Drosophila melanogaster: one gene and its partners. Changing the gene in region 2 together with the main gene of any one other region gives a genetic interaction. Each region holds a gene or a part of one and is shown on either strand. Other genes may lie near its edges. The genes, in order: Nipped-B, ct and Ssl1.

Region 1 (3,755 bases), on a different chromosome or scaffold from region 2:
AAGGTGGACTTTGTACATATAACATGTTTGGGATATTTACAGAATTTAAATTAAAATTTGACGGCTCTTGGGGAAAAGTATCAGAAATATTTTGAATTTGACCAACATTTGTTGATACTTGGTTTAAATCATGTTTTAAATTATAATTGGCTTCTTGTTGCTGAATAAAAAACTGTTCTTGTATTGATTGCACCGTACTTCTTTCTGGTGTGTTAGACTTTTTTTTTAGAGTATTTTGTGAAAGTATCTTAGTCACATTTAAATCTGAATTTTCAATAACGTCAATTTTATCTTTTTCTGTTGCATTTTCCTTAAAATTTATTTGTGAAAATTCTTCTAAGATTTCTTTTGAGGTCATACTAAAACAGAAAAATGCATTAAATATAAGGCTTGTAGAATAATAAAATATATACGCCACCTAGTAAGCTGATTGAAGCAGGCTTGAGCGTCTTGCAATTGATGTTCATTTGAAATCGACAAATTTGTTGGTGATGCATAACATTCCGGTATTGAATAGGAATCAATTTGCATTTTCTTTGCCTCTAATCGAGCATTAGCAGTATGTTGGTCCGGAGAGTCTGTGGATGAAATTCATGTAATACACAAATGGTTGCTTTTATTATTAAAACATACGTATTTTTATGGAAGTGTTAAAAACCGCTGGGCGAAAATGATATATTCCCTGGAGAAGCTCAGGATAAGTACTACAGTTAGTTGCTGTGTCTTGAACTGGGCAATGTATTAACTCTCTAAAATACAAGTTATTTTAATAAAGCAAAACATACAATCAATTAAACAACTAACATATTATCGGAGTTTGTTCTCTCAATGGCAGTTACCAATTGTCGAACTAGATTTTCGTTTCGCATAGAAAGTAAATTGCTAGACTCGTTAGCTACCAAAGCATGGAACAATAAAGATTTATTTAAGGACGCAGCACTCTGGAGCGAATCCGCCACTGGTAGCTCGCTTAGCACTTGCATTTAAACGAGAAAAATATTAAAAGTTTTTAAACTTGTACATACACATTATATTTTCTTGCACAGAAAATACTTACAATCAGAAGTGCTGGTTAAACCAGCTAATGTTGTTACAGGTACGGTTGGGTTGTCACGTTCCCCCATATTAAATGTAAGGATAATCCGATAGATTACAACACAACTTTGATTCTAGGAGCTAAAAAAAATAAATCTATTATTCATTACGCTACAACCAAACATTATTTCATCAACATGATAAACAATGTAATTGGAAACAATGTTTATATGAATATATTAAAATATATGGATGTTGTCCAGCTGTATTATAAGTCACTTTATGTACTATCTTATCTTTTTAGTTTATAAATTAAAAATCTATTAGATAAATCCCTTTAAATTGATTTATAATAAACAACTACTTACGTAGTTAAAAAAATTGCGGTAGCATTACCATTTACCGTTATGTTATTGCGATCAACAATTATTAACGAATTGCCACAGTTCAATATAAACGAATTACTCCGGTTCTCCTTTGCGTTTTAATTAAATACCAACTTATACATTTACAATAATAAGTACTTGTAATTTTTTAGTTTGCGAAATAGTGTTTGAAGAATATGGCCGACCTGTAGGATAGTGTGGCCGCGCTAAACTTAATAAAAAAATACCTTTTCAGACCGAAACGTTAATACTTCATATATAATACTCCTTTCCAGACTATGTAGTTACACACCAACTCAATAAAACGTAGAGAGCTTGGATGTTTGAAAGATATTTCTAAAAGAAAAATGTTTTATTGCAATTTAGGGCATTACCGACTTGAAGCTACTTCTCCTGTCCCGATACTTATTTCAATAAATGTTAACAGTGAAAACGAGTCGATAAAAAGGTCTTCATTAGGAAATGCCGTTCAAAACGGCAAAACAACCGATATCGCATAATCTCTTTTTCCATATGAAATGCGTATGCTTACAAGATATGAATATTCAAGGATGTGCAATTGTATGCGAATAAATCGATTTTGTTTTAGTTCATTTCTTCCAGATCATGGATCTTGGGAAAACAAATTATTGATATATGATATATGATTACCTTACCTTTTTGTGCAATTATACGTAAAATTATTTTCTACAGGCTTAAAACAAATTTGCGTCTTGGTAAAGTCAATTGTCCTTCTCATACATGAGAAATATTTTGTGAATTAATAATTCAACGATTGAAGAACAATTGGCAATAAATGTGGAGCTCGTAGCCGGTACCTGCAGAGCTCGATCAATCGAATTATAGTCGAAAAGCGCCACATAGCGTCGTTTTATTGAGCATGTTTGCTCACTTACTAAAAACTTACCTTACATTGAGTGTGCGAGAGTGTGAAAAAAATTGGCCTAAAAAAATTGCTTACAAAGCGCGCACATACCGGTTCACAAAGGGAGACTAAATGAGTCGGTAGGCGGATTCGGCGGAGGTGGGCACCCAATTTACGGCCACCAAATATAAATGCATAATCAGCCTTTCCACGCTTACCAAAGGCTTAGGGCATACTCAACGTATATATCGTATATGCATACGTATTCTTTTTCTCTCCCCTGCTGCAAAACAGCAATACTGTGAGGGGTCTTAAAACTCACAATAAGTCCAGGAGAACAGAGCAGAAAGCAGTAATGCGGGAGGAGTCAGGTCAAACGCTGAAGATTGGACCTTGGACCCCGGTAAAGCGGAGAGACCGGCCAAGGGCACAGAGGTCGAACGGTAAAGGTGTTTACTGGACACGTGGACCTTGGACTCTAGCGAGCCGTGCGTAACGGGAAAATAAAACAGCCTATAGACGGCAGCAGCGCCTCTGGACCAGGCAGCTAAAGCATGTAGTGAGTAATAAGTGCACGAGGGTAGTCGAGCAGTGTATGGGCGGGAGTCTCAAAGTCAGGACGCGGACGCGTGGGTCCGTCAAGTGAAAACACAATTCAGGAGCAAAGTTCAGTGTGGGAACAGAAATTTTCTTAAACTAGACCCAGTTGGTATTATTGTTTGTAATAGAGCTGGAAAACCATCGATGGAACTATCGATACTATCGATGGTTTTAAGTATCGGTGTGAGATTTCTTCCGCAAAATCACCCGCAAAATGACATTCGGTGCGAATCGTGGCGACCCTTTCGCATCGATCCGTCCAGGGCGCGTTTAGCTTTCTCGGCATTGGGATGATAGTCGACCTTTAGGAATTTAAAGTTCTTATCCAGGTTCGAGAAGATCTCGCTAATCGTATGGCTCGTATGGCTTGAACGTCTCGCGTAGCTCAGCGTCGGTGATGTCATTGGTCAGGTTGCCCACATAGAGACGATTTCGATGGGAGAACTTCGTCTCCGTGGGCACTTCCACTGTTTCCAGTTCAAAGGTGGGCCCAGAAATCCTGCGAAACCGATGTTAAATGATGAAGTCTTCACAGCCGCGCGGACCACCATCTCCATCGCTACCACCACCCATATTGGTGCTGTTCATCGTGCCACCTGCACCTCCGCCAGGGCGTGGACCACGCTACTACCGACTACGGTTTCGGTTGTCTGCTGGTTCTGCGGGCTTCCGGAGAAACCGCCACCTTGATTGTTACCAGCATTGCGACCTCTGAATCCTTGACCACTTCCCTGAATTCCGGCTCCTCCTTGATTTCCTTGGCCTCCTTTATTGCCTGCTCCTCCTTGATTTCCTAATCCTCCTTGATTTCCTTGACCATGGACTTGATTTTGATTTTGGTTTTGTCCTTGCCGTTGATTTGGGCCCTT
Region 2 (3,755 bases):
GGGGTGAGTACATTTTTCGACGCCGACGGCGGAACCGAGCATCGTTTTTTGTCTTCGTGTAGTTGGCGCTGCCCTTTCTCTCGGCTCTCCCGTTATTTTCGTTATTTTGCAAGCCGACGACGAAGTCCCCGAGCAGATCCAAGCCCCCAATATTCCCCGTACACCCCATTTACCAACAATTTTCCACCCAAATCCTAACCGCTTTTCAACCGATTTTCCTCTCAGACTGCAGCAACGCATCTGCGACTGCGACTTGGGTTCTCAGTCTCAGTTTAGGTGTAAGCCATAACCCCTTGGAAAATCCCAACCACATCGCCCCTCCCCGCCCAGCAGAAATCATGGGGTTTAGTAGAAAAATAGGGAGTGAGAATACCAAGGGGGTCGGGGGCGTCTGCATTGCACTTGGCGCTTCGATACAATTTGAACTTTTCTTTATGCGAAAATCCCGCAACGGGACTGCAAATTCCAGGGGTTTGCGGAAAAACACAAAATAACGGGAGGCTGAGAAGGGGCTTACTCTCCAATTTAATATTCCATGGATTTTTGAAGAGCCGAACAGAGACAGCCAGCCAAGGGACTTAAGTTAGGAATGCAATTTAAGGTGCATCATAAAGTGGCGGAAATTTGGAAAGGACAGATTGTTTCTAAATGTTACATTTACCTCTAAAAAAAAACATAAAAATTAAATTAAACAACAAAACATAGAATTGTTTGTTGCATTTAGCTTAATTTACACTTCGTATTTACTTTTTTATTTCCATCACTTTCTACTATTGTTTACTATGTTCGAACATTTGATGAATATAGCAGCTGCTTTTAATTCTAAGACTTATCTCGTGGAACTTTTAGTTCTTTAGTTCTTAACTTTAAAACTTATCAGTTTCAGAATAATACTTGAATTCCAGGTAAATCCCCCTAAAGCCAAAAAATATTACAACTTTCCGAAATATCCTCAATCTCAATCCCTCCGCCAGCGTCACAGTCGACGTTGCACTCAATCCTGCGCTCAATAAGCAACAACAACAAGCAGTAGTGGAGAGAGGCGAGCGCCTGGCTCTTTCGTTTCCAATAAGAAAAGCGATGTGCGAGCGGGAGGGCACTAGCCAAAGTGTCTGTGAATGAATGAATTTCAATACATGCAACTGACATGCGACGGCGCAGAAAAATGCTCAAAAATAAGAGTAAAAAAAAAAGCCGAGAAGGAAAGCGCAAAAAAAGTGAGAAAATCAAAAAGCTATTGAAAGAAATCAAAAGCAGTGCACGGGAATTGAGTGAGATTCTCTTGCGCGGAGCGTGAGAGAGCGAGCGAGAGAGTTGCGCTGCATGAGTGTGTTGTGTGTTTGTGGCGCCTCTGTCGCTGCCAACGCCGCTGTCGGCGCTCTCTGCGGCAGAGGGTTGTCGGCGCTTCGTTAACGTTCGATTTGTTCAGTCATCAACAGCATTCGTGACTGGCAACGTCGTTTCGTTCGTCCGTCGCCGAAAGAAATCGAGAATTTCAGAAGATTTTTGGATTCTACTGCCCCACAAGGCAGTGCAGCTTCTTCTTCTTAGCCGCGGCGCGGGTGTGTGTGCGTGTGTGCCCCTCTCTCTCACTGTGTGTGTACGTCGTGTGTGTGTGTGTGCAGAAGAATCCCCCCACCCACTTCATACAAAAAATTCATAAAAAAATAATTGCAAAAGAATGAATCTCGCTTGCCAAGAAGAAGAAACGTATTGATCATATTTATAAACAAAACAGCACACAGCCAAACAAATCAAAAAGGACTAAACGAACGTATAATATAACTGTTTATTATTTTTTTCAAGTGCATTTTTGTTCGCTAAAATATGTGCGCGTGTATGAGTGTCAAGTGTAAACAACAACAGCAACATCAAAAGCAACAACAGCGACAGCAAACATGTGCAAAATAAGCCACAGCCAAAAAGCAACAACATAATGATAATGGCTTGAAAAAATCACACACACAACAACAACAGGCAACAACCAAAACAACAACATCATACCCTCACCATTCAACAAACGACTACAACAAAATCCCCCACACAACAACAAGAAGAAACCCCCTTCCAAAAAAATCAAAAAAAATTCTTTTTCGGAACTAAAGTGAACAAAATATAAAACATAACATAACCATAATAATAATAATAATAACACACAGAAATTGGCTTATTTATGCATTTTTTTGAGCACGTAACAAGAAACATACTACTTAAGGTGTAAATGTGATGACTAAAAACGAAAACCGAATTAAATAACAACTAACTAACAAGTAAAATCGAAACGACAACAGAACAGAATAATGCCAGGCCTTATTAGCCCCAAATTGGTAGAATCCAAAAACTGAAAACCCCAAAAAAACCTAAGCAAAAACTGACTGAGAATTATTGAATTAACCCAAGAAAGCCCACGAATGCAGCCAACATTGCCACAAGCCGCTGGGACAGCCGATATGGATCTGACGGCTGTTCAATCAATCAACGATTGGTTTTTCAAAAAGGAGCAAATTTATTTATTGGCACAGTTTTGGCAACAGGTAAGAAAAGTTAGCAAAACGATGGAAAACGGTGCTTAAAAGCAAGAAGTTTCGTGTTTCAAGAATAATAATATGAATATAGTTCAATGAATTGGCCAAACAAGCTGAGATTACGGGTTCGTAAAATGTTCGGTGCAAAAGTGTTTTATCTTCTGTTCTCACTTTTATTCGCATTGACAAACAGTCTTACGTTTATATTACATGCAAGGTGTATCTTATTTTTGTCAACAAAAAGATGAAATTACACCTGTTATATGTAGCATAAAATTTGATACTTGCGTTTTCTAACTTTATATGAATGAAATGAATTCGATTCATACAGTATTGTGTATTCAAAGTGAAAAGTTTAGGGAGCGTAACGCGAAAAGCCCGAAAGCCTTTAAAACGTTATAAGCTAAAATTAGAACTTTCCATACATTGATTAGACTAAAAAGTCATATACAAATTTGCAATTATCATTGTAACTAAACAGTGAATAGTTCCCGAGTTCTGTGATATTCGTTGCATTTCACTGGAAACTCCCACAGCTGACAACAATAACCCTAGTGCGCCCAGCCGCCCACTTTAACCCCACACAGCCCCCATATTTTGGCCCCGCAAACTGCTTAACTTAACTTAAGTTAACTAATTGAGTTTGCGTGTCTATGGCAAATGTGTTTTTATTGTTGCTGGCCCGTTATTGTTGTCTAATTTCTTGTTGTAAATTTATTTATTTTTTCTGCTATTATTGATTTCTGAAAAAAAATTTGTTTGCACAAAACAAAAACAACAAATGCAAAGTGCAACAAGCAAGTAATAAGTGAACAGTTTATTGCTTGAATAACTTTTTTTTTTTTTGAAGCGTTTTTTTTTCTGTTTTCTACTACCAGTGAACCGAAAAAGATAAAGCCAGACAAGATCGGCCAGACGGAAGAGACAATTCAGATGGGGGTTTCGCTGTAAAAGGGGGCGTGGAAAATCGGGAGGCGGGGGCCAGACGATGCTGAGAATTTCGCTGGCCAAATGCCAGACTCCGAACAAATAAGGCGGCAAAATAACATTAGAGGCCAAAAAGGGGAAAAGAAAATCATCTGCCAGACCAGACATGGAAATATCAACTGCTGTATATATTTTTGAATATTTCTATATATAAAAATACTCTCTATATGGTTTGGCAAGTTAATTAGGTTGCGTCGACAGCCGGGCAAATTTTTTAATTGGAGTTTCTTCTTCGATTGATCG
Region 3 (3,755 bases), on a different chromosome or scaffold from region 2:
CACTGGCCGCGCTGCTTTGAGGGCCCTGGGTGTGCATCAACCTGGTCAGACTTGGAACTTTGCTGGTAAACCAGACCGTCTACGCCGGGAATGGTGTTGCATCCCACGCAGGCGTGCAATGTGTCGTGAATGAAGATGTCGCAGTCAACGCAGAAGAACTGCTTGCAGAAACCGCATCTGAAGACGACTTTATCGGCGACCTTGTCAACGCCTTGCCCAAGAGCTTTGGCGCAGCCGTAACATTCCCTGACATCGCTGGTGAGGTCGGATGACGAAGCAGGCATCGCCTCAAACGGCAGTTCCTCAAAATTTGGCACCGGGAAAAGGTGGTGGTAGGAACGCGCCAAGTGCGGCGCGGAGACCAGGGTGAGGCCGCAAGACTGGCACTCCACGGGCAGCTCGCAGTACTTGCTGTTGCATTGCGGGCAGTGGTGGCCAGTAGTGGTCAGTTCACTGGGCTCCTCCAAGTTCTCTATGTGGCACATGCACATGGACAATGGCGCGTCCTTGCCCTCAACTTCATTCTTTGTGTGCGGGAAGCCCATGCGAATAAGCGAGTTGTGCTGAGTCTTAGCGGCGGGCGGTGGATCTACCTGAGACATGAGTTGATCCCGAAAATGTGCATCATCCAAAACAGCCCCGAAGGTGCCCATTGTTTGCTGAGTGAGGTAGCGGGCCACGTGAATCTCAGCGGACAGGGAAATAACCGAGCAGCGTATGCCCTCCTTTTTTAACTCGTCGATGGTGAGGTTAATATCGACAGGATCACATGTGGTGAGCGAGCCCATGATAATGACGATCTCTCGGGAGGCGTGCGACGGCACCACCTTAAGCGATTTTAGGGCCAGATCTAGGCCATTTTGCAGCGAAGGCTCGCTGGTCAAGGACACGTTAGCCAAGCTAAACAAAAAGGGGATATAAATGGAGAACGCTGGTTTGATTCGGTTCTTACCTCTCTAGCGCTTTGAGGTGCACGCGCGAAGTGCCGGTAAGTTCGGTCACCTTCTCCGCTCGCTTAGCTTTTAGCGCTATGAGTCCTAATTGGCTGATGGGGTTCTGATCGAAGAACTCCTCGATAAACAGCTCCAGCAGCTTGACGGTGCACCGCAGTCGTGTGGGTTTCAAATCAGGCACGCTCATGGACTCAGAGCAATCGAGCACAACGAACATGTGGCGCATCATGCCCAGGCGGTTCTGCTTGGACTTTTGAGCCTGCCTCTGGCGTTTGGCCTTCTGAATGATCTCTGCAATGGCTCCATCCAGCATCCCATCCTCGTCGTCCTTGATGGCCTCCCTAATAGGATTAAAAGTAAGTGCGGGCTTACATTGTCACGCACACCATCGCACCATGTCTTTTCATAGCCCGTTTCCCAGCGGTACTCCTTCTGGTCCTCTTGCTCATCGTCGGCCATACTTGCAGTCCTGATGCACTACCAAGTCAAATCAAGAAAGAAAAGCAATTAACGCTAAATAAAATGCGCCGGCTAATGTAACAGTGTGTACACACAGGGCCTACGTTAAATACAATACACTGGGTGGCAACCCTGGGTAAGTATTTATATCAATAAATATCTACAAAAGAATGACATAATAAAATGAAATAATAAAAAATAATTTCGAATTTCTTACCTAATATGAACAAAAAAAGTACAATATTATTATTATTGCGCCCAAAGTTGCCACATCAATAAATATACCCACCACGACGCGTAATTGGCTAACTAAGTGCACCGCCACACGGGCGAACTGAAAAGGGCGCTACACCCTAAGTTTGGGCACTTAAAACCGTGCAAGCATTGAAACCCGCGTTTTATATCATATACTATATTCGAAAAAACCTTCGAAATCTTAAAATTTACTGGACTGCAGTTAGTTTAAAGCTATCGACAGGCAATACACTCCCAGTAATATTAGGATTTAAATAGCTTAGCACAGAAGAGCATTCTAAGGTCCGCACAGCCGGAACCAAATCATCTCTGGACAATTTCCGTGCAGCCGAATTTCGCTTTTGGCATTCAGAGTTCGCGCGTACAACTGTGAGCAGCAGTGGAGCTGCTCGTGTTGAAAAATCGGGAGTCAGTTAAATTAAAATAACCGTTTGAAACAACATTCAGTTTGATATTTATCCAAAATTGTTTATGAAGGTGTGTACCAAAGTGTTCTAGAGAAATCTTTTAATTTAATGATATGTGGAATAGGCTTATTTGCAATCATACCTGGCCTATATCTAGTGCCTGCAAGGTTTAGCGGGCAAAATGAAATTGTGAACTTTGATATTATTTAAACTATATGTAATCCTTTTTTTTAAATGAAAACAAATAGGATCGAACCATAGGGTTTTATTTATTTTAATTTTTAGCTGTGTTGAAGTTCAAATGCATTTGTAACAGATAAGTTTAAGTAACTAATAAAGTCGCATTACGCATAGTTCGTGCTTTTCTGTGTTTTATTATATTATATATCTACAACAGTGCGGCAGGCTCGTTCTTTTCATAATGTACTTAGTGTTTTTTTTCGGCTGCCTAAGCGCCGCTGCATTTTGCCCATTGCAGATGTACATATGCTTGAACTCACCATATCGGACACACACCGCAGACAGCGACCGTTCGCGTTGCCACCTGGTTCAAGTTAGCACAAACACACCACGGCACTGTACTTTTTCTTCGCCGTTTACCAATATTTCAAAACCAAGCAATAACAAATAATAAGACTCCATTCAGCACTATTTTTAAGTCACACTTTAAATGCTCTCTTCAAAGGCTTGGGCGCTGGAGTCGTGAATAATGTTGGCACAGGAGATTTCACCTACGGAAATCGGCAAACACGCAAACATTATAAGAGGTGAGTGACTAAAAACATTGGTAAATAATTTTTATTGTTAATTTTGTGTTCTGCCCTGCAGCTGCACAGGAGGAATTGGCAAACATGGACGTTCTTGTATGTGGACGATGTCTCCGGGCCTACAACTTCGTGGAAGAGTTTCAGGCCCACAAAGAGGACGCCTGCGAAAAGGAAAATGCAAATTTGAAGGAATCGCTCGATCCCAAGCCCACCATCTGGGCTTTTACGCTATGGAAAGCTACTCAGCTGCACTCGCGCAAGGACGCGTCCGGCAGCTCGTGGGCCTTGTACCAGCATTGGGTAAAACTAGACGATAGCGTCCGCGAGCCGTGGATTGTGGCTGGGAAGACCATACAGTCATTCGGCAAAATTGCACACGGACAACTCCAGGACATGCCTGTGCGAATAACAAAGACTGTGGTCAATCCAAACAATAACAACACATCAAATAGCAACAACAACAACACGAGCGTCTCCCCTACCAGAAGTAATACAAAACATTCTAAATAAAAGTCACACTTGTTATTAAACTATATTTAAATCAACAGAATCACCAACCGGTAAGCTGCCTACGTTAGCCAATCAACTAAAGGATACAGAAAACGAAAGACCCAAGTCCAAGCCGAGTACACCAACGCCTTCCTCAGTTCCCTCTGCCGGAGCCGTGAAGCCGAACAACCGCATAGCCATTAGGATCGATTCCAAGACAGATCAGCGCACCGAAGAGCCAGTGGAAAAGATTGTCGCTAAGCGCTTCAATCCGCGCCGTAAGACCCACGAGTATTTGGTTAAGTGGGTTGATCGCTCGCATCATGAAAACACCTGGGAGGTGATGGCCAATCTCGAGCGTGTGCCATACTTTTTGCAGATGTTCGAAAAGCAATTGGCACGCCAAAAACTTACTAGGGAGAAGG

What was found.
Region 1: of ct (region 2) and Nipped-B, changing one enhances a phenotype caused by changing the other (phenotypic enhancement), as found in Drosophila melanogaster (2 studies listed by BioGRID).
Region 3: of ct (region 2) and Ssl1, changing one suppresses a phenotype caused by changing the other (phenotypic suppression), as found in Drosophila melanogaster (one study listed by BioGRID).

The regions. Positions count from the first base shown.
Region 1 is NT_033778.4:4,727,376-4,731,130, forward strand, and holds the start of Nipped-B (Nipped-B), read right to left. Parts: upstream 1,643-3,755; 5' UTR 1,404-1,642; intron 1,177-1,403; 5' UTR 1,125-1,176; coding exon 1,058-1,124; intron 977-1,057; coding exon 805-976; intron 750-804; coding exon 634-749; intron 579-633; coding exon 419-578; intron 360-418; coding exon 1-359. UniProt on the Drosophila melanogaster protein: Plays a structural role in chromatin. Involved in sister chromatid cohesion, probably via an interaction with the cohesin complex.
Region 2 is NC_004354.4:7,607,005-7,610,759, forward strand, and holds the start of ct (cut), read left to right. Parts: upstream 1-2,143; 5' UTR 2,144-2,411; coding exon 2,412-2,534; intron 2,535-3,755. UniProt on the Drosophila melanogaster protein: Regulator of cell fate decisions in multiple lineages. Specifically, functions as a determination factor that specifies sensory organ identity in precursor cells. Probably also involved in cell type specification of Malpighian tubules.
Region 3 is NT_037436.4:22,877,023-22,880,777, reverse strand, and holds the start of Ssl1 (suppressor of stem-loop mutation), read right to left. Parts: upstream 1,690-3,755; 5' UTR 1,630-1,689; intron 1,573-1,629; 5' UTR 1,413-1,572; coding exon 1,348-1,412; exon of another isoform or gene 1,295-1,347; coding exon 953-1,294; exon of another isoform or gene 901-952; coding exon 1-900. Other genes in the region: Chro (chromator), read left to right, coding at 2,784-2,841, 2,903-3,328, 3,390-3,755.